Linked DNA regions of Notamacropus eugenii. The protein of the gene in region 2 interacts with the protein of the main gene of each other region in a pairwise test. Links are inferred from orthologs where the notes say so. Each region holds a gene or a part of one and is shown on either strand. Other genes may lie near its edges.

Region 1 (7,292 bases), on a different chromosome or scaffold from region 2:
ATGTTTGTCTCCCTATGCCTGTCTCTCTCTCTGTCTTCCTATGTGTGTCTCTCTCTGTCTTCCTATGTGTCTATCTTTCTCCCTCTATCTCTGTACTCTTATGTGTCCATCTTTCTCTTTGTCTGTCTGTCTCCCTATGTATCTGTCTCTCTATCTCTGTCTATGTGTCTGTCTCTCTCTCTGTCTCTGCCCCCCTCTCCCTCTCACTTCCTGTGTCTATTTGTCTTCAGATATCTTTCTCCTCCCCTCTCTCTTATCTCTGAGGTCCTCAGAAGCTGTATTTCTGGTCCACTGTCTTTGGGGTTCTCTGTTCCTCTCTTCTCTGTCTCTCAGCCTTTCAGTCCCCTATGTCAATTTCTCCATTTCTCTGAGCCTCCCACTTCTTGTATCTAGTTTTTCGTTTCTGCTTCTCAGTGTCTCAGAGTCCTTGTGCCTGTTTCTCCATCTCTGTCTCTGAGTTTCTCTATCTTTTTTCTTCCTTTGTCTCCTGGATTTCTTCGTCCTCTATTGCTCAGTTTCTGTCCCTCAGTCTGGACCAGCAAGGGAGAAATTGGGCCTAGGGAGGGCAGGCAGGAGCCCCTCAAAAACCACCTCCACAGTGTTGTGACCCCCAATCCCATCTCACAGCATCACTTGGAGGTTGGGCTTACATTACATATGCTGGATCCTGATCAACTAGCTCTACCCAAACTCCTCCCCTAGGCTGGTAGGAGCAGAGTCAGCCACCTGTCTCCCTTTTCCCTCTTCTACCTCATCAAGAAATTCCTATCCTGGGTGTCCTTTCCACTATCATATGTGACTATCCATGTGGCGAAAGATGACACCTTCCCCCCAGTTTTTCTCCAACCTCCCCCCCCATATACCAGGCTAAGCTACCCCTTCACCCAAGACATGCTTCTCCAAGCTGCCCCCTCCAGCATCTGACTTCTCAGCTCACCTCTCCTCAGGAATTCATGGCCGGCACCACCTGGAAAGACAGCAACATTCCCCCATCAGTCCCACCTGGGGACTGGGGAAGTCCCTTCTGCAGTCTTTCTCTTATCCTTCCTGCTGCAGCTTCCCCAGTCCTTCACTTTGGCCCAGGGCAACAGAGCTTTGGGCTTTGACACAAACCTGATAACCCAAGATTCCAGGCCCTCCAGAACAACTCATGGTTTGTTTGTTAATATTCACTTACATATCATCTGAGCCTCACAGCAAAACCTTTGGGATAGGCACTAAATGTTATCAACCTCCCCATTTTGCAGATTCAGGGAATCAGGTTGACTTGCTTGCCAGTGGTTTCCAAGCTAGTGTCAGAGACAGAATTTGAACCCGGGTCTTTGTGATTCCAGAGACAACACTCTATCCCAAAACTGCCTCTCTAAAGGGAACATAAGTATCCTAGGCTCCCAGTCCTTCATGCCCACTGAGGAAGAAGGAAAGAAGGTAGGTCCACAGATTCAACATCCTCACTGATGTGTAATCTCCATGTCATGCCAAGACACACAGCACATGCTTAGACATGCTTGTACACACACCTGTTCTCACACGTGCCAGCACATACAGGTCCCCACTGGAAGGCATGCACAACCTACCATAAGAACATACCTGTATTTGCACATACTCATATCACATATAACATATATTCCCCATGTACACAGGCAGTTGACAAAAAGCCCAGCCAGTGAAAATATATGCTGGGACCCTGACACACAGATACATAGACACAAAAAGCTGTGGGAAGGGAGGAGACTGGCTGGTAGCACATGGTTTCTTACACACACACACACACACACACACACACACACACACACACACACAAACACATATACACACACACACAGAAAGACACAGACCCACAGCCAGGCAGTAACAAGCAGACCTAATCACACTTGGATCCCAGGATCTCTCACTCCAGCCTCACCTTGGTCCAGTTCTCACCACCCCAAAGGGGAAGTCTAGGACCAAACCTGACCCCAGTCAAGGGAAAGAGAACCAGGAATCTGGGCCTCCGGGAATCAGGATTTAAGGAACAAAGATGAGGGGTCAGAAGGTCAAGTCTCCTGAGATGGAAATGGGGCAGGTAGGGTTGGGTCTGGGATGGAGGGGGACAAGGGGAGAGTGAGGGGGGTGGATGTCTGGGTTTGGAGGGAATGGGGTCCAGGAGTCTCTCTCATGGCTTCCTCCAGGCCCCATTCCCAAAACACTGAAATGTGCTGGTGTTGGAAAGGGAGGAGAGAATCCTGCAAATAAAATCCGATCTGGGCCTACGGCAGGGTCCCTCAGGGCCCCCTCCCTCGTGAGGCCTGAGGATCCCCACGGATCTGGGCAGATTCTGAAGGATCCTGGGAGATGTAGCTAGGAGGGGCAGGGTTGGGCTGGCCTCCCCCTTCGAAAGGGAGGGGGTAGTCTCCGGTCAGATTCCACCTTTCTCCCCTGGAGTCGGTGTCCATGCGTCCGGCTCCCAGCCCCTGGCTTAGCCCTAGGTCTGTTCACCGGCAGGGGAGAAAACGACTGAGTCCTCCCCGCAGAGAAAGCCCCAGGGACCCAGGCCCACGGTGCCCCCCCTGCCGCTCCCCTCCCAAGGGCTTGAGGCAGGAGCTGTCCCTGAGACACACGGACACCCACGGAGACACATGGACAGACTCGGAGACATACAGGCCCACGGGCGGACACACACGGACACACACATGCAGACGAGCACACACGGACACACCAACGAGCAAACACATCAGGGCGCACAGATCCACAGATGCCGGGCACGCGAGCCGGCCCCGGCAGCCCCGGCCACACGCGCGCACCCAGACACGCCCGGACCCCCGGACCCCGGCACCGCAGCGGCGCGGACACACGCGCACACGGCCCGCAGCGCACACGTCCTCCATCCACAGCGCCCATCGCCCAGCGCTCACGCTCCCGTCCCCCGCGCTCCCCGCCCCGGACCCGGGCTCACCTCCGGGGGGGCCCGGCCCCGGCCCCGGCCCGGTCCCGGGCTCTGGCTCTGGCTCCGGCCGCCGCCGCCTCGGTCCGCGCCATGGCGGGGGGAGGGGAGGGGAGGGGAGGGGACGGAGAGGGAAGGGGGATGGGGACGGAGGAGGGAGGGAGGGAGGGAAGGAGGGAGGGGGGCCGGGGCCGGGAGGGCTGGGGGGAGGGGGCGGGGGGGGCGCGGTACCGCCGAGGCTCGGCGCGCGGCTCCTCCCTCCGCACAGCGCGGGGCGCGGGCGCCCGATCTGCAAAAGGGGGGAGGGGAGCGGAAGGGAGGGGCGAGGGGGCGGGGAGGCGGGCGCGCCTGGGTCCCTCCCCTGCTCCCGGGTCCGGGAGCGAGAGCACCGTGGACCCCTCCCAGCCGAGGCCCCCCACCGTGGCGGTCGGGTTTTGGCCCCGGCTTCTCTCCGCCCCCCAACCCCCGTCCGCAGAGGGAGGGGCCATGCCAGGTCTGGGACCCCCGCGTGGCAGGGTCCCCCTGGTCCCCTGCCTCAGCGGACCAGATGGACTCGCGTGGGGGCGAGGTCGTGCTGCAGAAGGAGGAGGAGGGTCCGCGTGGAACTGGAAGAGATGGTGATGGAAATGGAAGGGGAAGGCTGGGGAGAGCCAGGAGGCATGGAGACAGAGACACAGCCCGGGAAATCGGGGCAGAAACTCGGGCGCCAGCGCCAGCCATGGCGACTGGACCTTGCACACAGTAGGGGCTCAGCAAGGAGGTCCTGAGCCGTGGGAGATGAAGACGGACCTGGGATCCAGAGAAAGGACACCTCCTTCCTGGGGGAGGCCAGTTTCTATCTTTGGTGAAAGAGGGCCTTCTCTGCCCCCGTCTGCATCCTTGTGGTCTGCCTCCCCCATCCACCTGGCCTAGCCCCAGCCCTATACTCCTCCTTTTTTCCATACCCCAACCTTTTCTCTGTCTACCAATCAGGCCTTCTGATTGGTCTATTTATGATTTTATGATTCAGTTCTCTCTTGAACGCCCCCAAGAAGACCCCCACCTGGACTGAGTCTAAAAAGGATGGGATAGCTGGGGATGAGCAAAACCTGGAAAGCTGGGACTAGGAGTTTGGTGCGGCAGAGGGGTGAGAAAGGGAGGAGGGAGGTATACTTAGAACAGACCAGCCCACTCATCTTCTCCAAGGCCTTTCTGCAATCCTTCAGACCTAGCCTGCTTCTCAGCATCCCTGATCACCCAAAAGTCTTTTACAGCATCCTCTCCATCTCCCCCTTCATCCAGTCCCTCCACAAGTCTTTGGTCCAAAACACCCTCTTGGGATAGACTCACAAGACAAGGGATTCTAGTAATGATAGGAACACACACACCTTTAAGCCAAAAGGGACCTAGGTCACCCAGGTCAACCCTTCCATTTAACTGAGGTAGAAACTAAGGGGCATGGAAGGGAAATGATTCCACCAAACCCTCTCAGTAACCTTGTCTGATTCATCAGTCTACAAGTTGTCCAGTTTTGCCCTATACTGGCCATTCCGGGTTGAACAGAAGCCTTCTCAGTACCTTCTCTGACTGGTCCTTCTAGAATTCCCCAGACTAAACTCCACTCTACTCAACCTGGATTGGACAAAAGCTTCTGAAATTTCCACTCTGGTTATTCTACAATCCAGATGGCCCTGCCCAGTTCAGGTCCCCTTCCCAGCACCCATCTCTAATTGAACCTTCTGCATTGAAGGGGACAAATTGCTCTGCCAAGGTCTCTTGGGGGCAAAAAAATCAAACCGTACCATGCTGCTTCCTGCTCCTCCTCAAATCCACTAAGAATCAGATTTTTCTTCTTTGGGTAGGGCAGGGGATTTATAATTCCTATGTGGTATTTATTACTAATTAACTTATGGAACTTCCACTTCCTGGAAGCCTCAACCCCTTCCTTCTCTGGTGCTTGGGATCTCTCACTCCCCCATCCTCCACCACAACAAATCAGAGTGAGAGAGAGTGTAGGGGATCACAAAATGTTAAAACTGGGAGCTTGTGATGCCTTATTCTCATCTGCCCATTTTAGGGACAAGGAAGCTGAGACCCAGTGAATGAAGAGCTAATGAGTCTCCAAGAGTCCAACCAGTGATCAGTAAAATGGGTAAAGGTGGGGTTCCATATGAACTGGAGGGGAGGATGACTGAGTCTGCCTCTGTGCTACCCGGACCACCAGACTGCCTTATTATGAAGAGGCCTGGTACTAGCATCTCCATCCTGGCTACAGGCATTAGACTATGAGATGAGATAGGAGAGAAGGGAAATGGAAGGGAAGTCCTCCTGAAGGGGGTAAGAGAAGGATCAGCCTGGAAACTCCTGCCCCTCTACTGCAGAGACTTGGAATCAATGGTGGCTGGGGTGGCTGGGGCCCAAGGTCACTATGTCATTGTTACCATGGCAACAGCTACCACTTTCCTTCAAGTAACCTGGGAATGAAGGAGGAAGAGGAGGAGGAGGAGGGGCTTTCCTGGCTCTAGAGACTAGGAGTCAGAGAAGGGAAACACAGGGATCCTTTGGCTCTCTCTTCCCCCCACTGTGGCTTTCCAGGCCCCTTTCTATGGGGTCCACTTGGACCGCTGATCCTCCTTTCAGACAGGGATGGTGGGCAATCTTACTCCCTCCCTCTTACTCCCCATTCCCTGAAGCAATTACATTAAATTGTTTGGTGACTTTACTGCTTTAATCTCCTCCTGCCACCACCTCCTCCTTTGCATGCTAATTCCCAGATTGACAAACCCTGCTGTCTGGTGGGCGGGTGCTTCCTCTCTGCTACCCCCACCCCAAGTTTAGGGAATTATAGAGATCATAGGAACCCTCTATACCAAGGGAGGAAGGAAGGAGATCCAGGTATGTGAGGTAGGAATGGGAGACACCTTTGGAGGGAAATGGGGAGAACTCTGCTTGACCCCTGTGATCAAGAACTGGGGACTCTGCTTCCAGTGGTTGGGCATAGATACAATCCTAACAGAACCCACAACCCTAAAAGAAACAAAGAAAATTAATTGAGGAGCCCCTTCCTTGCCCCTTGAGCCTTGGGGTAAAGTCCCTTCATCTAGAGGTTGGAGACATACTTCTCTGGCCTGGAGACCTGGGGATGATAGCTGGTTGCCATGGAAACATGGCCTCAGCTTGAGCAAAAGAAGCATCTGCTCTGGACCAGGGCACACCTTGATCTCTGAGGGGTGTGGGGCACGGGCCTGGCTCATGCTCTCTTGTATCTCCAGCTACCCCCCAACCCACACATTATAGTGGAGCTGTAGAAGGAGGGAGGAGAAGTCTGACCCCAACACTGAGGAGAGTGGTTAGACCTCAGAAAGCACTTCCATGTGGTTCTACTCTCTTTCTCAAATAATTTTGAGTCTCATTATCTTTCCCTAAGTGTCGGTTCCCCTACCGACCCCTTCCTTGAAGGAAAAGGAAAAGCTGAAAATGACTGGCAAGCTTTTGCAAGAATATGGGAGCTACCAGTCCCCCTCTCTCTCTAGGACTGATGTCTGGTTCCTATAGCCTCCTTCTCTTCGAAACCCAGCTGTTGTGCCTCTTAGTTCTCCCTCTCAGGACAGACGCTTTCTGCGCCCCTGCCTTCTGCTCATTTAGGGACCCAGGTGGCCCATCACTCAGCCCTCTACCCTTTCAGGGAACCTGGTGTCCTTTCCCTAAGCCTCTCCAGAGTGGGACCCGGATTGCCTGCATTCGGCCTCCCACTTCTGTGATGGCTGACTGCCCTCTGCTGACCACATGGGGCCCTGCAGAGGCTGCATGGGCGGAGTCAGGATAACTACTAGGGTCAGGTCAGGTTTCACTAGTTTATTTTGTCGGAGGGTATTTCATTTCCCAGAAACCAGGTGTCCCGTCTCCAGATCCTTGGACATCTCCGGCTACCCCCAGCTAACGGAAGAAGGCCAATTTCTCCTGAAGCCAAGTCTCTGTCAGGTCATCTGTGGTGCGGATCTCAAACACCTAATGAGGGATCGAGAGAATGAATGGACTGGGGATTGGGAAATATCTCAGGGACTCAGGCAATCAGAGAAGTGGCTGGGGGGCCAGCTATCTGTCTTCAAGCATCTAAAGTGCCCTCTCGTGGTTCTCTGGTCCCAGGGCAGGAAGGGGTGGTACTTACAACCCTCGTGGCCAAACCCTATGGACACCACCCCTCCCCCACCTCAGGAACCCAAAGCTCCCGACCTTGGTGAGCTCGGCAGTTTGTACGAGTCGGTTTTTGCTTCCTGCATACATCATTTGCTGTTCCGGTTTACAGCCTGGTAGGTAGGGGTGGAAATCGTGGGGTCAATGGGAAGAAAGAAAGTATTACTAGGGAGAGGGCCCCTGGGGTAGGACTATA
Region 2 (7,782 bases):
ATATTTATCTGAAATAGAAATGGACAATGGTTTGTTAAGTTTCAGCACATCATATTAATGTTGAATAACTAAATTTCAGATGTCATAAAATACTGGGCATGAATCTAGAATAGTGCAGCTTCATACTTCTAGCTTTGTAACTGTGGGTCAGTCACAACTTCTCAGAGTCAGTTTCATTATTTGTAAAAACTGGAGATAACATTTGAATGGACCAGTTCAAGGAAGCTGTTGTATGGAAAGCAGTTAACATATTTCAAAATGCTATAATGATAACAGCTAATATTTGTCATGAAAAAATATTAAGGACCATGCCCTAATACTCTAAAGTTAATATTGGGGGAAAATATGGAAAGTTATGGTGGGATAAAAACTTTTGTCCTATTAAAACAAAAGAATATTTGCCCTTCTTTTCACTGGAATTCTGCTAAGAACTTAAAGTATTCAAAATTGTGCCAAAATGAAGGATTATTACCTCTTTTGGAGCCTCCTTTTCTATGAAGTCAGTATAAATTTTCCGAGCCTTTGAGTTCAACTTCTGGGGAGACTTGGTTTTCTTGAAGTCTTCACAAGCCAGCCAGAATTCTATGTTTTCTTCACAAAACTCAGACTTTAAAAAAGCCCTAAATGCAGCAAGACCATCTAGAGAGGAGGGAAATGTGAAGAATTTATTAAAATAAAAATGTCTTACATTACTTTCTGTTATTTATCTTTTCAACAAACCTAAGACTTCAATACAGGATTTTCTATGTTGCAGTAACTTGCCAGAATTTACTCAAACTTGCAAAGCTCTAGGTTTCAGAGTTTAAATGCCAGCAGGTAAATTTCTTAAGGTTGGCACATTGCCATTCCAGAGCACCTTCAAATATATAAAAACTACGCTATCAAGGAAAAAGAAATAGCTCTGGTGGAACCATAAATCCTATTGAACTAAGCCCTTTGAAAACATTGTTTGCAAAGGAAAAGTTGACTCAACCTTAACTGTGAACAAATGCATTTGTAATCAGGCTGAGTCTCACTCTCTCACTCTCTTCCCACCTGAGGATATTTTACTGGAGGTATAACAATACACACAATTCCACTGGTTATTAAAAAAAAAAAAGGACATTTGTTTGAATTTAGGGCAGAACTTCCTCATAATGAGGGGAAAAGAAAAAAACAACTAATCCAAACCTTACTTATGTTACAGGACTTGACCCTGGAAAACAATTGCAATGTCCAACTTCTAAAAATACATCAATCTAGTTTATAATCCATGGATTCAGCTACCGAGATTAAAATCACTTCAGATTGAGTTTAATATTTCCACTTACATTTACTGGCAAGAAGCTCATCAAAAGTTTCTGACCACAGCTGTGCTTCTTCAGGAGAAGGTCTGCAAAAATGAGTGCATACATTTAAAAAAAAATTTGAATTTCTCCTACTTCAAAGAAAAGGCAAAATGCACATTAGACAAAAGTCCACTGTTAAGTTTGGGATCTCTAACTTACCTAATAAAAGCTTGCTGTTTGCCTTTCTTGTTGGCTTTTGGCTTCTCAGGTGTGGATGAGTTTTGAAGGAAGTAGCTTAAACGTGTCTTCCAGTCTTTTATGCTAAAAGGAAACAATCATATTCAGTGAGTGATGATGCTTTATCATTATAGCTGCCCACATTTTACCAAGTACTTCTATTCATACCAGAAACAGAATCTTAAACGACAGAAAGACAAATAAGACCTTACCAAAATAAAAACCTAAGCACTGCAGTGAAATGAACCTTTCTGCACTAATAATGTTTAAGCTTATCTTGAATGATCTGAACATGGCTTTTGGTTTTACTGGTTCATTAAGTAGCCAAGGTGAGGTTGCTTTAATGATTGAGAAACTTTAAGTCATCCTAAAAGTGGTGAATGAAACAGGTTTTCCTTTTGGCCAGTGTGAAATTTTAGTTTCTGCAACACTATGACAACTCTGGGCCATTTTCAGTCATCTGGTGAAATCTACTTCAATGACACTGAAATGAGTCAGAGCAGTCTAATTAGTTTCCTCCTTACTCCCCCCCCCCCCCCTCCAAAAATTGAAGGCTTTGGATAAAGCCCTACGTGGAAAGTTTGTGCAACAGTTCTCAAAAGCAATTCTAAGTTTCTCCTTTCAAACAAAAGAGCTTTAATACTTTCTAAGAAGAGAGAAGCCAAAGAAGTAGGTCTCCTAGTTTAATAACTCTTCTCACTTGGGAAGTAAATTCGTAAGCCCAGCACCTGCTGTATCAATAAAGGCATCCCTGTCCAAGGAGCAAGATAGAAGTCGGGCAGAGCTACCGACCTGGAGAGTTAGAATACGGAGAAAAAGGCTGGAACTCGGGAAGACAGGATTTTCAGGCTACTTTTATTTTTCTTTAATGAGGGAGTGGAGGGAGTATGATTTCTTCTTTTAAAAATCGAGGAATGTCCGGGGATTAAATGCATCCCAATTTATTCTTCTTGGCTTAAATAAGAGAACAAGACCCTCCCTCCCCCTAACTGTGATAAATAAAAACCGCTACAACCTTACTTTAGTCTCCTTTAAAGACTGAGATACAGCCTGTTATAAAGTAACCTCTTACTATGCTTTTCTAACCGGGGGAAAAGCTTCCTGATGCCTAGTGTTTCTGAAGAAATCCCATAAAAGGAGAAGAAATGGGAGTAGGTGGGAGAGATGCTTACATCGTGCGCTTCATCTTTTCTCTCTTCTCTTCGCCCTTTGGGTAGCTGCTGGCACTTTTCTCCATGGAGCCGCAGTTGGGTTGGAAAGCCAGGAACATAGCACTTTGCATGATACAGATCCGAGAACTGGGCTGAAGACGGCAGTCGCCTCTGAAGGCTCCTCCTGGAGCCGCCGGGCTTTATAAGACTCGGAGGCTGGGGAAGGCGAGGGCGATGGCGTTCGACTCCGCCCCGCCGCAGAGAGGATTTGCTGGGAACAAAAGATATGTCAGCGACCGCCTCGGGAGTCCCCGCCACCCTTCACTGGGGCTGGAGCTGAGGACAGTGCTGACGTGAGTGCTCCCTGTGAGTTCATGCGCAGTGATGCCAAAACGGAGCTGGAAACTCTGAAAGGGTTTTTTTTTGCGGGGTGAGGTGGGGGGGGGGGGGGGGGGGGAAGGGAATAAACAAAGATCTCTCACTGTATGGCTCAGGCTGTTAACCTTTTTCGTGCGTGCTGCGGGGCTCACCAGACGAACCTGGAGCCACCTTGGATGGAAAGAGCGGTTCTTGATTCAGGGAGAAAGGAGAGAGATGGGCACGACTCGGTGTGCTCCCCCTCTTCTTCCCACCTCCTCACCCCATGAGCCAAAAGACACCTCATAAGAATCGTGTTTGAAATCTGGGCTTCAGCATCTCCGCCCTGGTACATCTCACTCCATTGTATATTTTAATTGAAAAGTGAAGCTTTTTAACTGAGAAAATTGCTTTAATTTGTGAACTGTCAGAGACTTTTTTTAAAAAAAAGTCAATCCTTGTTTAATTGATTGGCTCAGAGCCTAGTAAATTACTTTCCGAGACTGATTAGTTTAAAGCAGTCAGTACTTAGAACCAAACTCGCCTCACCAAGTATTATGCCTTTCATTGAAAACTGTCTCACCTTTTTCAAAGGGTGTTCGGAACCCTGCTGTGGCTGACTTCGGCCAGATTGATTCTGAGATACATTCATCTAACTCAGGTCTCAGCTGGACGCTTTCCTGCCCCAGGTCAGTTCCTCTACGTCTGTTTAAGGAACTGACCTGGGAAGCCCTTCAAGATGTCCTTAAAACGTTCGTGTCAGGGCAGCCTGGTGAATGCAGTTATGCTGAATGACCTCCCACCTGGACCTTCTCTGCAGGGCTCCCAAATAGGATTGTGTCCACCTTGTTCTATTTAGGGGAAAATCTGATCTAATCGGGAAGGGGAAGTGCTTACTTTTGACACAGCCATTGTAAGAATCTCAGGTTTGACCAACACACCTAAGACAATGTTTGGAAACAGGAATTGTTCAAACAAAAAAGTAGAAGGAAGGTGTTAGTTTATCAGAATACAATAATTGAAATCTAGATTTCATAGATCTAGAGCTGAAAGGAATCTCAGAGGTCATCTAGAGATCAACCCACTGTTTTAAAGATGTTGAAAATGAGGTCCAGAGGTTGTGATTTGCTCAAGGTTAGACAGGTAGTCAGAGGCTGGTTGGGTTGAATCACAGACCCTAAGGATGGATGTCTCTCTGACCACATCTCTTTATTCCACCATGTTAGATTTTTAACTCTTTTGCCCCTTAGTGCTAAGTACTTCCACTTAATGCTAAGCACCTACTATCAGTTAAGCAAGGTGGTGAAATGGATAGAGCACCGGGCCTGGAGTCAGGAAGACCTGAGTCTTCAGATCCAGTCTCAGTTACTAGCTGTGTGACCCTGGGCGAGTCACTTAACCCTGCTTACTTCAGTTTCCTTATCTCTAAAATGATCGAGAAGGAAATGGCAAACCACTCCAGTATCTTTGCCAAGAAAACTCCACATGGGTTCGCGAAGAATTGGACACAATGACAGATTATTGAACAACAACGACTGATTTATTTTCATCCATCGCCTGCTCATGGCTCTCTACCTCTCCCCTCTCCTCTCCAATATTTTATCCTGTAGAAAGATGTAGGGATTTTGGCTCTTAGGTGTGTTGGAAGTGTTTGTTCATGTGTTTTGGTGGAACAGAATGTTTAAGCTGGAAGTCATTGTAGAGGCCATGCAGTTCTGCCTCCCTTTTGCAGATGTGATAACTGAGGTTCTTGGGGCAAAGTGACTTATCCAAGGCCACTTAACAAATAAGTAAAAGATACAGGTCTCAAACCCAGGTCAAGTTTAGGGTTCATTCCATTATATATGCTTATTAACCTGGCTCAATTCCAGAATCCGTATAGAGAGACCGGGGTTCATTCTGAACCATGTTATTTTTAGAAGCATAGGCGTGCAGAGTAAAATTTTCCTGTACATTTGACATTTGGCAGAATTAGGATGTACAAGTATTTTATGTTTCAATATATTTGAATATTATGTATTTAACCTTTCTCAAGTTTTTGACACGGAGTGCTGACCATAAAGAAGAAAAGACCTCCACGGTACTATAATTTGCATTTCTCTGCAACACCTCCAGAATTGAGCATAATCCTATTTATGCTGAGGCAGCTCAAAAGCTTTCACTTGTCTATCATGTATCGTGATAGTTAATATTAATTGATTTTATGAAATGATTGTGTAAAGTCAGTGTTCAGTTGAGGAAAATTAAATTACTGCCTACTCATCAGATGTGTTCTATCCTCTGTACTATACAGTTCAACTCTGTGACTGCAGAGAACATCTTTATCGTGCAGCGGAATATTCAGGTGCCTTTTATTTCTCCATCTCCTCCCCTCTCTACCCCACCTCCACTTGCACACAGTGTGAAAAGAACACAATAGATATGACAGCTGGGACTGGATCTATTGTATCAGCTACATTATCTTTGCAAGGCAAATGGATAATTTTGCCAATGAACCACAAGTCTTTGTTTCCTATGTAATTCCAAATCGTTTCCTATCAAGAATCTAATCTGATTGTAAAAGTTACAGCAAAGTATTGGCATGGTTGCAAATCTCACCTTTCTTTAGACTAAAGTGCAGTTATGAGTGAACTATAATTATTCTTATGTTCATCTGCCAGTAGCTGGAGCTCTAAGGATGGAAAAAATACATGGCCACGGACCACAGGGGCAGAAGCTTCACCTATTTTAATAACAGAAGAATAAGGCTGTTGTGTAATCCTGGAAAGGCACTTGATTCTGAAACGTTAGATGACCCACAGGTATTTAATTTATATTTTCCCTCAGTCTCTTGGGGAAAAATTAAGGAAGTAAGAAGCATGCATGCTTTCTTTTTCTAATACTGTAAAATGGTTTTTGTATCTCTATCTCTTCCCTCTTTCCATATGCTCCTTCCCCCATTCCAGCTTTTATGTATGCATAATTTGGAATCTTAGAAGGTATAGTTGAACTGGGATTCATGGAAAACCAGTAGTTCAAATAAGATTAGGAAATAGGATATGCATAATTACAGGTATTAAAATATTCAAAGAATTTTATAAATGAATTTTTCTAGGAATTATGTGTACTAATTATAACATAATTAAAATTGTCTATGACTATTACAATATTTAGGAAAGATGGTAAGAGTATTGTGAGTATTTAATTTTGATAGTTAATATAGTTACTATATTGTACAGAGAATCTACATTAAAATGTATTTTTGCAGGAATGGTATTTAATAAAATAAAGATTTTATTACTGCCCTTAAATAGAAAAGTGCTTCATTTGATTATATGCTTCTTTATTTCTTCTTGCAAATAGACTTTAGTCAAAGTGGATTACTTAATTTGAAAATGGCACATATTTTCCATCCTGTGTTGGTAATAAACACAAAAAGCAATAAACTTCGCTCAAGTCTAGCAGCCTGAGAACTTGACTATGTTCTTGTTGAAATGACCATGCCCCCTACTGGTAAGATTTTTGACCAAATACAGAGAGATCCAGCTCCTGGATTTATTTTTAAATTTTTATAAGATTTAAACCTGTTAAGGATACTATTGAATCTCAGATCTGTTGAAGTATTATTTAACTAATACCTCAATGATAAAAGGCTAAAATGTTAGCCTTTGACCATATATAGAAGAAATAAATAGAAAAAAAAATTCTAGCCCAGAATTTATACTATTTCAGGAAGCTCAAAAACTTTCACTTCTCTTACCATGTATTGTGGTAGCTGATATTAATTGCTTCTTATAAAAGGAACTTGTGAATTCCACACTACTTCCCACTCATCAGACGTGCTCAGAAATAGTCCTCATGTTCTATTAATACCTTGTTAAAATTTGCATTTTTCAGAATCTGTTAATAAGTTCTTTTATTGAAGCACTTGATTCAGTTTATAAGTACCCTCTTTGATACCACATGTTGGAGAAGACTTGTTCTCCTCAACTTTACTCAGTACAAAATCCTGATTATAGGAAATATGTCTTTTTGGAAATCCTTACTTTGAGTAGTTCTATAGAGGCAGCTGGTTGATAATGCGGATAGAGTACTGGGCCTGAAGTCCAGTTTAAAGCAACCATAGATACTTAACATCTCCTCCACAGCCATCTGAATCCAGTGACCAGATATTCATCAGGATGACTGGAGATGACCCAGGATGCATTGGGAGACCTTGACCCCTTTAGGTCAAGGTCTTTGCAGGTACTCACTTAGGGTGAGGCAATGCCCATTCATTGAATAGGCCTGTTTAAGAAGCATCCAGGGCATGGCCCATTTAATGAGGCCAAGAAAAAGAAAGACATCAGACTGGGAGAGAAACAGCAGCAGTGACTGTGGATAATCACTCTAAAGCTAGAAGGGTCCAGAATAGCCCTTAGGCAGGACCCCATTAGCATCCCAGCTTTGGAGTGCAGTAGGTTTAAGGTTTTGGGAGAGCAGAGCAGGGGAGAGGAGAGGAATTAGCCAGTAAAACCGAGTCAACTGGGCATCTTTTGGCCATCCAAATTTACCTTTCTTTGGAGAGCAGAAGGAAGGGGAGGGGGAAGCAGACGGAGAGGAGGAGCTGAGTTACCCAGCTAGCTGGGTCACCATTCAGCCAGCTGAGTCTTCTCACAGGTTTGTCTTCGTCCTTCAGTTGCTGAAGAAGACCATGCCATCAGAGAAAAGATAACATGACTTGCACTTGACTTGCACAGCTCTCCCTCACTCAAAACAAAGGGACACCAGTGGGGTCCTACCTATGGGCT
Region 3 (6,868 bases), about 370 Mb from region 2:
CTCCAGGGAAGAGATCGGCAGGCAGATGGGGAAACTGGGTTCCCAGAGAGGCCAGACAAGGAGGGGTAGGGAGGGGGGTAGGCGGACCTGAGCAGGAGGGAGGGGCTAGGTCCTAGAATAGGTAACCACACCTCAGCCTCCACCCCCATCCTCCTTTTCCAGGGGGCTGGAGATGACTACGATCCTGGCAGGCAGATGTAGCAGCAACAACGAGAAAGGGAAACTCCAGTGAGGGAGGACATAAAGCCAGAGCCAGACTTTTCAGGAATGGAGTTTGAGCCCCTTGCACTCCATTGAGACATTCCCCACTCCAGATCAATATTGACCCTGGACTCATGATAAGGTAATGCCAGACAGAGAGGGGTCAAGGCAGGAAAGGGAGATCTGGGAAGACTATAAACCTAGCATGGCCCCAGTCCCCTAGCAGTCCCTGGGCTAAGGTACTCAGTCATCTTAATTCCTTCCAGAGCACCCCAGCCTAGGGCCAGGGGACTGGGGGTAGACAGCCTGTGGAGGGGGGAGAGAGTGGGAAGGGGAAGTATGCTGTGCCAAGCGGAGTCAAGTGACAAGGGAAAGGAGGCTGGAGCCAACTGGAATGTAAGACTGGAGCCGAGATTCCCAGGGGCGGGAGAGGGGAGAGCCCAGCAATACAGATGGCTCCAGAGCAAGCCAAAGGACCCCAATTTCCCCATAAGGAGAGTCTTGATGTCCTCATTTCCACCTCCCTAGAGTCCCCATAGCCTTTCCACCCCAATTTAGAGGTTCCCAAGTCATCATCCCAGGACCTTTTTCTTTCCCCACAAGCCCTCATGTCTTTGTATCATCTAAATTCCCCTGAGGACCCTATGTTTCTCCAATTCCACACAGCCACATCTCATTTGCTAGGAGTTCCCATGTCCTTGGCTATCCTCATCTTGCCAGGCAGTAAGCTTCAAATGGCAATTTAGAATAGGAAAAGGAGCAGGACTAAGTAGGTCCAAAGTCCTAACTAGCAGTGTGACCTTGGGCAAGTCATACCTAAAGTAGCTCTGTGGGCCTCCATTTCCCCACCTGTTAAAGGAGATGATTGGACTAGATGATTTATAAGGGGTCCTCTGGCTCTAGCAATCTATGAATTTACTGCCCATGGGGGACAGCACAGCTGTGTCAGGGAGAGCAACTGGAGAAGCTGAAGGCTGGGGAGGGGGCAACAGGAGAATGAAGCTCCCAGCTCAGCAGACCACCCAACCACTGTTGGGAAACATCAAGAAGAAGGAAAGATCAAGCTGGATGGACCTCCCATAATAGGCTAGATTTCCTCCTGGAGATGCAGCTGGCTCTGGGAAGAAGCAGGAAAACAGCTGGGGGGACAGAAAGCAAAGGAGCCTTCATATAAAAGGTATTTGGGGGTGAAGGTGGGGGAGGTTGGTAATAACCAAACTGGGAAGGCCTGATACTTAGATCACTGAACCATGCTCTGGTCCTATTGTGAAAGAAAATGAAAATAAGAATCATAGATAAAGGAGAGGAGTTTGGGGGGGGGGGTCACTAAAATGGGGAGATAAAAAACTGAAAGGAAAAGGAAAGAGCCTCTTGGCTGAGAAACAGAAAGGTGAGAAAGAAGGAGGGGATGAGTCTGGGGATCCTAAAGAAAAGTGGGGAAAAGAAAAGAGGAAGATGCAAAGGAACAACTGAGGGAGGTAGGTGTGGAGAAATAGGGTAAGGCTAACAGAATTCTAGTAAATTTCAGAGGACCACGTTAGTGCTGGTGAACACAAAAAGCACCTGTTTTCAGGGAAATTACAATCTAAAAAAAGCTATAACATACACAAATATCTATAAATACAAAATTACTTTAGTGAAGTAAAAGAGAGAAGTGAAAAGAGAAGTAAAGACAAAGATGTGAGGAACTACATTCTGGTGTGGGGAGCAGGGAGTAAGAGGAGGAAACAGGGAAGGCTTCATCCACAAAGCAACAGTTAAATTACACCTTAAAGCATGAGGAAGAATTCAACAGAGGGGAAAACATTCCAGGCATAGAATACCCTGTGAGTATAAGCACAGAGGTAGAAAATTCCAAGCCACTGTACAGTGGGTCCACTCTGATTGCTGCATAAAATACTCCAAGGGGGAGGGGAGGGAAGTAGTATAAAAGAAGACTAAGATGGATGAGTGGTACTAAATGGAGGTTCTTGAATATTAAGGAGATTGAACTTTGTAGATAATAGGAAACCATAGGAAGGTTTTGAGCAAAGGAGTGACATGGCCAGTTCAATGTAAAAGCAAGATTAGTTTAATAACCCTTCGAAGGAATGACTGAAGGGAGAGGATAGTAAAAGCGTGAGAAACTGAAAAAAAGGGGGTGTGTATAAAATAGATGTATGGAGAGGGTAACCAGAACTGAGGGAGAGAAACATACAAGCTGAGGAGCAAGGGAAATGAAAAAGTCACTAGAAGCAAGAAAGGGAGTGATGGAACACAGAAGATAGGGAGACTAAGAGAAAAAAGGGGAAAGATGAAGGATATTGAAGTGGAAGATGAGGTCACATAGATCAGAAAGTCCACAACCTAGTAGCATCCTACCCACCTCAGCTCCCAACCCCCATCCCTTTCCCTAGCACAATTCTCCACACCCTAACTATTCCACATTCCCTATTCCTAATAGGCCCCGTTTCCCCTCCCATCCACTCCTGCTACCTTCTTTCCCCATCCCCAATCTTCTCTCCCCTCCGCCCTTCTCTTCCAGGCAGTGACTTGGTCTGTCCCTCCCTTTCTGTCTGTCCTTTCTCCCAGAGAGGGACGTCCAAACCGCAGTCCTTCCAACCCCCAGATCACTCACCTCTTCATTCCCCCACCTCTGACCTGTGGCTGGGCTCAGGGATCCCCTGGGTCCTTTCCGTTTAGGCCCAGAATTTGGAGGGGGGGGTGCCTGCCGTGGGGCCCGAGGGCCTCCCGGTTCCTTGGCTTTGTCCACTCAGGGCGGTGCTTAGTCCCAGCACAGGATCCTGGGAGCAGCTGCCCCGACCAGCTGCGGCCGGCTTTGTGGTGGTCATGGCAACGCCAGTCCCATACCCCTCTTCCAAGCCTTCTCAGCCCCCGCTGGGAGAGTAGTGCTAAGAGCCAGGCAAAGTGGGGGAGGGCAAGGTTAGGTGGAGAAAAGCCGAGTAAGAAAGGAGGCTGCATGGGAAAATAGAACAACAACAAAACAGCTAGACAAAGCGACAGCTTGAACAAAGGGAGATTTTTTTTTTTAAGAGGCAGAGATGTGAGGATACAACATGTGTGGCCCCTTTTATTCAGTCAGCAAGATAGGGCAGCTGTAGGACTGGCACAGGTAAGGGATGCAGGTGAGAATCCATTCTATGGGCTGAAAGGAGCAGCCTTTGCACAGAAGCAGAGACTGGAATTTGGTGGTAATGCACAGTAGGGATAGCAGCTCACAGAATCACTGATCAGAGACAGAAGGGGCTGTCAAACCTCTCTACCAGGAATTTTCCAACATAGCAAACTCTACAAGTGGCCATCCAAACGCAGATGAGAGATCTTCAATGAGGAGGAACCTTCCTCCTTCCAAGATAGCCTATTACACTTTTGGTCAGTGTTCATTGTTTGGAAGTTTTCTCTAAATCAAAACTGGAATTTGAATCTTTGCAACATCCATGCATTGGTCCTGATTCTGCCGTCTGTGGCCAAACTAGACAAGTCTAATCTCTCTACCACATGATAACCTTTAAAATACCAGAAGACATATATTAAGTCTCCCAGAGGCTTTCCTTTTGGCTTCACACGTCATCCCTGGAGAGTTTGTTCTTTGACTCTGAGTTATAGAAAACCAGAGTCACCTGAGTTCTATGGTTTATGTCTGAGCCCTAGTGGATAGACAGGGGTAGTGCTTAAACAGGGGCCCCAAAACCATAGTGAGGAAAACGGGGCCAGCAGGTGATAAAATCTCTCAACAAACTCTGAGGGGTCAACTCTAGGCCTGTTTATGCCCACAAACAATGTCATCATCGGTATTTTTTATTGTAACTATAGTTTCTGTATTTTCCAAGTCAAAATACCATTTCCTAGGTCCTACTTCCCTATGAAGGATGTCTATTAGAATATAAGCTTCTCCCCAAAGAGATCAAAGAAAAAGGAAAAGGGTCCATCTGTACATCAATATTTGTAGAAGCTCCTTTTGAACTATAAACAGAAGATGCCCGTCAGTTAAAAGATGGTTGAACAAATTATGGTATATGAATGGCATACAGATAAGTAATGGTATATGTAATAGTATTATACCATAACAAATAATGAGTGGGATGTTTCTGAGAATTCTGGGAAACTTATATGATTTGATGCAAATTAAAAGTGAGCAAAACTTTGAAAGAGCTTTTGGAAGACTGATTCATTCGATAACCAACCATAAGTCTTGAGGATCAGTGAGTGATGCAGAATGCTACTCACTTCCCAACTGAGAGGTGATGGAATCAAGGTACAGAATGAAACATACTTTTGGACATTGAAAATGTGTAGATTTATTTTGCTTGACAATGCTTATTTGTTACAAAAAAGATTTGGTTTTTGGTTTTTGGAGAACGGGGAAGCTAGCAATAGCATTGCTTGGAGAAAGAAAGGAAAAAAGAAGAAAAAAGGGTCTTTAAAGCAGTTTTTTTAAAAATACAGAAGAGATCAAAAGAAAATACAGAGAACAGTTATCATTGTAGTAAAGGTACTCAAAACTATGCCATACAATGATCAATATAATATTCTCAGTTTCTTTAGCCAGAAGACAGAATTTAGGAGGAATAGTTAGAAAGGTTGTTGTCTTTGAGTTGTCCTCTGATCTTTTAATTGTCAAATGCGGTGGCCTTTTCTCAGTCCTCCTTGACCTCTGGGCAGCACTTGACAGTTTTGATCACCCTCTATTCTTGGGCATTTTAGCTTCTCTGGTTTTTTTGTACCACTGCTTCCGTGGCTTTCCTTCTAATTTTCTTCTACCGCTCTTTCTCAGTCTCCTTTAGAGGTTCATCATTCTTTATCATGCCCTTTAACAGTAGATGTACCTCTAAAGCTCTGTCCTGGGTCCTCTTCTGTTTTTTCTCTATACTTTCTCTCTTGGTGACTTCATCAACACCCATGGGTTTAATTATCATCTCTAATCTGATGACTTCTAGATCTATACATCTAGCCCTAATCTTTCTCCTAAACTTCAATCCCACGTCACAAACTGCCTATGAGACATTTAAAACTGTATTCCCATAGGCATGTCGAATTCAATATATCCAGAACTCATTAACTTTTTCCCAAAACTCACCCTTCTTCTAGCCCTATATCTATCTAGGATATCACCATTTTTCAGCTCAAGTTAACAACATCTAACAACATTTTCACTTGTTATTCTCTTACATATCCAATCAGTTGCCAAATCTTGTCATTTCTATCTCCACAGTACTTGTCTTATCTGTTCCCTTTTCACTTACCAGGCCACCACCCTCATTCAAGCCCTCATAACTTCTTGCCTGAACTATTTCAACAGCTTCTTAATTGGTATATCTGCCTCATCTCTCCCAACTATAACCTATCTTTCAAATAACTACTAAAGTGATTTTCCATGCCACTCCCCTACTCAATATTCTCCAGACGCTCCCATTACCTCTAGGACTAAATGTAAATTTCTCAGTCTGGCATTTAAAGCCCTTCATAATCTGCCCCCAACCTACCTTTCCAGCTTTATCATATATTAGTCCCCTTTAACATCCAGCCAAACTAGCCTTTTTATTCTTCTTTAGGATAAAGGCACTTTATCCCCCATCTCAATGCCTTTGAATTTCCCATCCCCCATTTCTATAATGTACCTTCCCCTCTTTAAAATCCCTAGTTTCCTTCAAGGATCAGATTAAATACTATTTTCTACAGTAAATCTTTTCTGTCCCCTCAGTCACTAGTACTTGAATAAAATTCAAGATTTTATCTTGAATCTGTTTTGGATATGCAATGCCTGGCATATAGTTGGTGTCATTTGTCCTTCATTTTGAAGGGCCAATATATAGAAATTTTTTATATTTAAGTAATTTATGTTTAAGTGAAAGAGTTGTACAAAGTCATCAGTTTCACTTTCTCTTTTTTATATAATATTTTATTTTCCCCAATTATATTTTAAAAGAACTTTTAAGATATTTTAAAAAAAAGTTTTGAGTTCCAAATTCCATGACCACTCTCTTCCAGAATAATCACAGTTCAGTGGCAAGGCAAAAGTCAGAACAACTAGAGATGGCCTGAGATGCAGTGAATGACCTTGGAGTGGAGTCTTTGATGTCTGATCAAGCTCTAACTACTCCACAGAGCCCACTTCAGCTGCCTTCATGGCCTCTGGAATAAATTGTCCTCATCTTTCCATTGCACTGGGGAAAGTCTTCACATGTTTGTGGTAGACATCCTTCTAACTCACCAATGGATTTGAGGTCAGTCAGTTACTGTCAACCTGGTCTAGCCCATCTGCCAAGATGGTTTTACCAGAGTGTGACCACTGCACATGCTACATACAGCTTCTTGGACCCACGTGTGAGAGTTGGGTCAAAGATGGGAGCATCCCTGAAAACAGCCCTCACACCAAAGGTACTACTCCTCCCTGAATATCCCATGTATCCCTCGCATATAGTATGTGCTAAATAAATTCTTTATTTATATTACCTATCTTTGTGTGTGTGCACGTGTGTGTGAATGTGCTGTGTCTTCCCAAGACTGTAAGCTCCTTGAGGGCACAAATTATTTCACTATTATCTTTCTATCCCTAAGACCTAGCATAGTTTCTGACACACAGCTATCCATTAACATTTGCTGATGTAGTATTTGAAGGGCTATAATGTTGAAAAATATATTAGACTTGTTCATTGGTGGACCCAGA

Evidence for each region. The genes of interacting proteins can lie anywhere in the genome.
Region 1: the proteins of RGS2 (region 2) and LRFN1 interact in a two-hybrid assay, tested with the Homo sapiens proteins (2 studies listed by BioGRID and IntAct). The link is inferred for Notamacropus eugenii from reciprocal best matches to the Homo sapiens genes RGS2 and LRFN1.
Region 3: the proteins of RGS2 (region 2) and DDR1 interact in a two-hybrid assay, tested with the Homo sapiens proteins (2 studies listed by BioGRID and IntAct). The link is inferred for Notamacropus eugenii from reciprocal best matches to the Homo sapiens genes RGS2 and DDR1.

The regions. Positions count from the first base shown.
Region 1 is NC_092876.1:32,141,739-32,149,030, forward strand, and holds the start of LRFN1 (leucine-rich repeat and fibronectin type III domain-containing protein 1), read right to left. Parts: upstream 3,022-7,292; 5' UTR 2,936-3,021; intron 968-2,935; exon of another isoform or gene 938-967; intron 1-937. Other genes in the region: GMFG (glia maturation factor gamma), read right to left, coding at 6,839-6,910, 7,136-7,209. UniProt on the Homo sapiens protein: Promotes neurite outgrowth in hippocampal neurons. Involved in the regulation and maintenance of excitatory synapses. Induces the clustering of excitatory postsynaptic proteins, including DLG4, DLGAP1, GRIA1 and GRIN1.
Region 2 is NC_092873.1:449,848,749-449,856,530, forward strand, and holds the start of RGS2 (regulator of G-protein signaling 2), read right to left. Parts: upstream 3,012-7,782; 5' UTR 2,788-3,011; coding exon 2,678-2,787; intron 1,590-2,677; coding exon 1,488-1,589; intron 1,373-1,487; coding exon 1,311-1,372; intron 640-1,310; coding exon 473-639; intron 9-472; coding exon 1-8. UniProt on the Homo sapiens protein: Regulates G protein-coupled receptor signaling cascades. Inhibits signal transduction by increasing the GTPase activity of G protein alpha subunits, thereby driving them into their inactive GDP-bound form.
Region 3 is NC_092873.1:84,698,165-84,705,032, reverse strand, and holds the start of DDR1 (epithelial discoidin domain-containing receptor 1), read right to left. Parts: upstream 3,022-6,868; 5' UTR 2,819-3,021; intron 1,379-2,818; exon of another isoform or gene 1,154-1,378; intron 181-1,153; exon of another isoform or gene 1-180. UniProt on the Homo sapiens protein: Tyrosine kinase that functions as a cell surface receptor for fibrillar collagen and regulates cell attachment to the extracellular matrix, remodeling of the extracellular matrix, cell migration, differentiation, survival and cell proliferation.